Kluyveromyces lactis: one gene and its partner. The protein of the gene in region 1 interacts with the protein of each later gene in a biochemical or structural test. Links are inferred from orthologs where the notes say so. Each region holds a gene or a part of one and is shown on either strand. Other genes may lie near its edges.

Region 1 (3,033 bases):
GTAGACTCAGAAAAAATGCATGGTTAGTCAATTTTACCATAATTTTGATAGTGCAGATATCCTCAATATATGAGGATAAATAATATAACATCTTTGGGTATAAATTTGTCATCATCTCTTCTGTAATAAATTTATCTAAATGCTGTTCAACCAGAACAAATAACCTTGGCGTAGGATTATTCAATGACTCGATCAATTTACTGAATTCATTACTGTTTGGGTCTAGGTGAAACTCCCATAGTGTAAATGTGAGATCTTGGGGATTTGTTTCAGCCCGCTGAACAAAATCCGTGTAGTTTAATTTCGTAATCTTTGAACCCTCAATAAGTTTTGGATTTTCTGTAAGAGAGGAACAAGTCATTAGGAGAGGTGATAACTGTTGCCATTGAGGGGCACTTCGCGGCAGTGGTACTAAATTAGCAATCCAAAGTTGTAAATAACTCATGACATTGTTCTCAGGGTTAATTTGCTGCAAAAACCAGTTCCATACTTCATTGCTTTTATACTTTTGAGTATAACTTGTCAACTCTGTATTGTTGAGTAATAGTAAACAACAGCTAATCAGTTTTACGACAAATAACTTTTCATCACTAGTAGTGAATGGTAAGAAATCCAGATCATCTTCGAACTTAAGCCCTTCTCCGAGTGTTTTTAATTGATTAACGTGAATGACGGAATTGGAATCATTAAAAGAAGTATTGTGATGTTGAGCATCCAAAATACCTTCATTATTTTCATCATCCTCATCGACATTTGATGCTTCTTCTTGTAGCTCTTCATCACTTTGAAACTCTTTTTTCAATAATGTACGTGTTCTTCCGTATCTCACCTGGCTCACTGCTGAAGTGGAGACCACTTTAAGACATTGAATTTGGCTATAAGTCGATATTACATCGTCGGAGTCTTTCAATGACGAAATCATCGAGGAGATACTGTCAATTGTACTTTGAAACTCATGAATCTCAGAATCATTATCAACAGCTTCTTCAACATCTTTCATATCGTCATTGTCGACTGTTATTCGTTTATGAAGCCTTGTCACTTTACGTTTCTTCTTCATAGATGTCGACCCCATACCATCCAAAATATCGAATGGATCAGCTTCAATTGTCTTTGAATCACGGTTTTCAAATGACTCGTATTTATGAGAGGAAGACACATACTCTTCTCTGACAGGAGCCATGGGAGAAGTCTCATAAGTTCTATCTAAATCTGTTGATAAACTTGTTTCTTCCTCGTCAGTTGAAGTGAAATTGTCCTCATCGCTTAACTCATTGTCTTTTTTATTCAAATGTCGCCTCGCCAAGGCTTGAAATTTCCCATAGTGACCATAAACTCTCGTCTTCATTTATCAGAACCTCCCAATGGGCTTTGTTGGTTTGCTTCCCCTTGTTTTCTTTGTTGTAATTTGTTCGCGTCTAAACAGTATCGTTTCACGTTAAAGTCCTTAAATTTTACGTGTTTTCCTCAAAGCGATTTCAATCTAGAGAAGAGAAAAGCTATGAACAACTTTTACAGAGATAACACAGAGGGAAAAGAACGTGCTAAAAGACCTGGAACTGGATTCAAGTCATTGGTTTTGATTATCATTGCCATAGTACCGAAAATGTACGGAGATCTCGCTAACAAGTTGATACTAGAAGCAAAGAGAACGCAACAGTTATCTCAAGCTGGATTCAACAAACAGCAATTACCAGTATATCAAGACGAGCTAGTCCGTGGCATCCTGAAAGAGGTTGGATCCCTCAAGAAGAACGTGGATTACCTACGAGAACAGCAGCTTACTGATCAGGATAACAAAGTCGCTCAATGCCAGTACGTCGTTGCTATGCTTTCGATGGAAAGAAACAAAAGATGTCTATTAGCATACCAAAAGATGAGAAGTGAGATGCTAGACTCAATGGTTTGGGATAACAACGGGATGGAATTTTCTTCTGCCATATCAAACCACCCGAATCTATCATCGTTTGATTCCTCTGTTTTATCACATGCAGAACAAGAGTATCTCAAAGAGTATGCACAACTACTTACCGAATTGAAATCGGGAGAACTCTCAGAAATCGATTTGACTGGGATGTTACAACCGCCGAGCGATGTGTTCATCGACGTACGAGTATTGAAAGATGCAGGACAAATAGAAACAGAGTACGGTGTATTCAACCTGATTAAAGATTCCCAATTTTTCGTCAGACAATCCGACGTCGAAAGACTTATACAACAAGGATATCTGCAGAAGATATAGCAAGGCAGCTTTTTTCGCCGAATTCTGCACCTTTCATTGCAATTCTGTAGATATCATTGCTGGTGATATTGCTGATGCAACCGTTCCAAATGCAACTAACTAGCTTTACCTCACTTTCACTATGGGGAATGCACGATTTCTTTTTGGATTTCTTTTTCTTGCAGCTCATCGCCTTCAAAAATTTTTCAGTTTTGTATTTAAGGCAACGAGGCATAAGTAACAGAACAGTACTTGATCTGGAACCAACTTGTTAGAACGGTTATTGGTTTGATTGCATTGAGTATAGTGTACAGCTTATTGGGATATAATATTTGTCACCATACATATACCAAGACTTGTGTTTCATCTTTAGTCTAATTGTTGAGCATATCTTTCCTAATTGTAAAGCTAATAAAATAAAGGATGTCCAAGACTGATGTCACTGATTCTGCTACGCAGAAAAAAGAATTGAACGAGTATGAACAACACTATTTCACCTCTTATGACCATTTCGGTATTCATGAAGAGATGTTGCAAGATACTGTGCGTACGCTTTCGTACCGTAACGCTATAGCCCAAAATAAGGACTTCTTTAAAGGTAAGGTTGTCCTAGATGTTGGATGCGGTACTGGTATTCTATCTATGTTTGCTGCAAAGAACGGTGCTAAGCATGTCATTGGTGTTGATATGTCTAGTATTATTGAAATGGCTAAGCAAATTGTTGAATTGAATGGTCTTTCAGACAAGATCACTTTGTTACGTGGTAAATTGGAAGACGTTGTGTTGCCTTATAAGAAGGTTGATATCATTAT
Region 2 (3,953 bases), on another chromosome or scaffold:
AAACCAAAAACAGTTAAAATGCTAAAGATAACGAGGTAACTGTCAGAAAGTCAGTCTGAGACAGCTGTTCTAACCTGATTTCCAGTTTTAAGGTACATTACAGTACAATGCAGATACTCAGCTAGGCGAATTTTTTTTATTTTGAGAATTTTTTGTTGGCTTTTTCTTTTGCATCTTAGAAACGTGTGTAGGACTGAGAGTTTTGTGCGAAATCTTGAGTGTGTGGACTGAGAAACGGTGAAATAAATGTGGTCTGACTAAGTGTCATTGTGAACGACGCCGACACATAGGGCTGTGCCGGGGCCTGTACCCTTTTCCACACAGTAGTAATAATAATAAACATTAGCTTCGGTGATGTTTAACGGCATAAACTGTAAACTATTGGTATGCCGGTCCGTATGTAGTGCATTTTTGCAACACGTAAACTGGGAAGGAGCTAAATTGATTTTTTAAATTGATTTCTCAAATTTAAGGGTGCGGTTTACGCGTTTGTTTACGTTTTTTGACGTTTACGTACGGTACAACGCGTAAAATGTAAACAATTTATGGGGGGCGGGGAGGTAATAAATTACACCTGGTTTACGCGTTGCGATGACATACCTCTCGTTTACCAAGGGCTATCCCTGAGGGCAGGGGCGGCGGTACACTTTGAGCGAGGGGAAATGTTGAATTTCAGTTTCTGAAACTGGGGTGTCCATTTACGAATGCCAAATTCCTATACTATATCCATTGTCCACTCGATTGGCCCATTGAACACTTGTTAGGCTTAGATAATGCAATGTTAAGGTTGTTTTCACCCAATTTTTGAGGTTACTGCCTCTCTATACCGGGGGTCCAGCCAAGCCAATGTGGTCGTTTATGAAAAGTACTGAAAATTGAAAAATTGAATTGCAATTTCAAATTAAAAATAGACTATAAGAGGGAGGGTAATTATGTTGGTATGTTTTGTCACGTGGTTGTGTCCGGGTAATGCGTCTTTCATCTTCTACCCGATTAGGAACTGTAAAATAAAAATCACTTTCGTTTTTCCAATTGATCTTTGAAACATTTACGCATACACTTTCTGCTAATCTTCAACAACTTCTCCGTTATCAGTTTTCCTACTGTCTGCTGCCACTCACACCAACCAACGATTCAGAACACCACCAGTACCATGGCTTCATCGGTTTTGCCCACACTGGATCTCGGAATTGACTACGAGGTAGCTCAAGATAATATCAAAGATTTCTTGATCCATTACAAAGAGGAAACTATCGGTTCTACTGGGGAGAACGATAATGACGATAACTTGGATCCTGAAGTTGGTCAGGGCCCAAAGTACTTGCAACAATTGCAACATATTGCCAATAGAGAACAAGATATCTTGTATATCGAATTGGACGATGTGTACCATTATCAGCGCACCAAGCAATTTGAAAATTTGTCTTCGTCAAATACAGCAGCACAAGGCAAGAACTTAGTTAACTTACACCGTATCATCATGGAAAACACTAAGCGGTTCACAGAACTTTTCTCCAACTGTGTAGATGAACTATTGCCGCCTCCAACGAAAGATATCGATTACGAAACAGATGTATTGGACGTCATTTTACACCAACGAAGATTGAGAAACGAAAGAAATATCTTGGAAACTAGAGATGAATTCCAACAAATGGCTCAAGGGATGGGCGAAGAGTCTCAAACCAATTTGGATCAATTGGCCACTACGGACGCTGATTTGTTCCCTGCTGCGTTGATTAGGAGATATCATTTGTATTTTAAACCGTTAACCAGCAGATCCACTAGGAAACTGAAACCAATGTCAGTAAGAGAAATTAAAGGCTCTTATTTGGGAAAATTGATTACAGTCCGTGGTATCATTACCAGAGTCTCTGATGTGAAGCCAAGTGTCACAGTCAACGCTTATACTTGTGATCAGTGCGGTCATGAAGTGTTCCAAGAAGTTAATAAAAGAACTTTTACCCCAATAATAGAATGTCCCTCTGCCCAATGTTCCGAAAATCAAACTAAGGGACAATTGTTCATGAGTACTAGGGCATCAAAGTTCAGTGCATTCCAAGAATGTAAAATTCAAGAACTATCAGATCAAGTGCCCATCGGGCATATCCCAAGGACATTAACTATTCACATTAATGGGCCATTAACTAGATCCATGATTCCAGGTGATGTGGTAGATGTTACTGGTATATATCTACCTTCACCATACACTGGTTTCCGTGCTTTGAAAGCTGGTCTATTAACGGAAACGTACCTAGAGACACAGTTTGTGTACCAGCATAAGAAAAAATTCGCATCTTTCCAAGTTGATGATCAATTGAAAGAAAGAGTAGCGAAAATCGTCAACCAAGGTGATGTTTATAACCGTTTGGCTAAATCAATTGCTCCAGAAATTTACGGTAATCTCGATGTTAAGAAATCTTTATTGTTATTATTAGTGGGCGGTGTTGAAAAAAAAGTCGGGGATGGTCTAAAAATCAGAGGTGATATTAACATTTGCTTGATGGGTGATCCTGGTGTTGCTAAATCTCAATTATTGAAATCTATCTGTAAAATTTCTCCGAGAGGTGTCTATACAACTGGTAAGGGTTCTTCTGGTGTAGGTCTAACAGCCGCCGTTATGAAGGATCCAGTGACTGATGAAATGGTGCTAGAAGGTGGTGCCCTCGTCCTTGCCGATAACGGTATCTGTTGTATCGATGAATTTGATAAGATGGATGAAAGTGATAGAACTGCTATCCATGAAGTTATGGAACAACAAACCATTTCAATTTCTAAGGCAGGTATTAACACTACTTTAAATGCCAGAGCCTCCATATTGGCAGCTGCTAACCCGCTATACGGAAGGTATAATCCAAGGTTATCTCCACTTGAAAATATTAATCTACCAGCAGCTCTTTTGTCTAGATTCGATATCATGTTTTTACTACTCGATATGCCAAGCAAAGAAAACGATGAGAAGTTAGCAGAACACGTCACGTACGTTCATATGTATGACAGGCAACCTGATTTTGGTTTCGAACCAATTCCTTCGAGCGAAATGAGAGAGTATATTGCATACGCCAAGACTAAGAGACCTGTGTTGTCAGCTGATGTCAATGAACACATAGTTCTATCTTATACAAGAATGAGACAAGACTCTAAGAAAGCGTTGGATTCTAAATTCTCGTTTGGGCAAGCAACACCTAGAACTTTACTTGCAATTATCAGACTATCACAGGCCTTGGCAAAACTAAGGCTCAGTGACACTGTGGAAATTGAAGATGTAGACGAAGCTTTGAGGTTGGTAGAAGTCTCTAAAGAGTCATTATACAGCGACCGCAAGAACCCATATGAAGATGAAAACCCAACAACCAGAATTTACACAATTATCAAGAAAATGGCGACTGAAAATGGTAGATTTAATAAAAGATTACCGTATGATGCTATTGTAAGAACGATTAGATCAAGAGGTTTCACTATGCTGCAACTGGTAAGCTGTATCAAAGAGTATGAGTATCTTAATGTTTGGCATCAAATAGAAGACGGAAACACCTTGCTATTTATTGACGATATTGATGATACAACGGAAGACAATTCTGATATAACTAACCCTTCGACGCAAAGGACACCGGATGAAGATGTCGATATGGAATAATACCTGACTATCTGCATACCACTAATCTGTTTTGATCCAATAATGCCTTTATTCCTTATTTTAGTTTTAAACCTAGTTTAACGACAAATTTGTATTACTATATACTAACGTTTAAGTAACTTCTAATGTGCCTCTTCTCCCAGATAGACTGAACGATGCAGAAGTAATCACAGTCTATCTTTCAAAACCAAAATTAATTTGTCGAATTCAAAATCTATCTATTTTGTGCATAAACCTAGCTTATGCCATCTACTACTTAGTCTAAGGTAAGTTTACATATTTGTTTACAACTTCTGAAACCTCAGAGAGTAGTTCTTGT

The links.
Region 2: the proteins of PSF1 (region 1) and MCM7 form a complex in vitro, tested with the Saccharomyces cerevisiae proteins (2 studies listed by BioGRID). The link is inferred for Kluyveromyces lactis from reciprocal best matches to the Saccharomyces cerevisiae genes PSF1 and MCM7.

What each region holds. Positions count from the first base shown.
Region 1 is NC_006038.1:615,724-618,756, forward strand, and holds PSF1 (DNA replication protein PSF1), read left to right. Parts: upstream 1-1,606; coding exon 1,607-2,242; downstream 2,243-3,033. Other genes in the region: RAD61 (Rad61p), read right to left, coding at 1-1,348; protein-arginine omega-N methyltransferase HMT1, read left to right, coding at 2,645-3,033. UniProt on the Saccharomyces cerevisiae protein: Required for DNA replication. Functions as part of the GINS complex which plays an essential role in the initiation of DNA replication by binding to DNA replication origins and facilitating the assembly of the DNA replication machinery.
Region 2 is NC_006041.1:2,065,526-2,069,478, reverse strand, and holds MCM7 (DNA replication licensing factor MCM7), read left to right. Parts: upstream 1-1,153; coding exon 1,154-3,634; downstream 3,635-3,953. Other genes in the region: AAH1 (adenine deaminase), read right to left, coding at 3,896-3,953. UniProt on the Saccharomyces cerevisiae protein: Acts as a component of the MCM2-7 complex (MCM complex) which is the putative replicative helicase essential for 'once per cell cycle' DNA replication initiation and elongation in eukaryotic cells.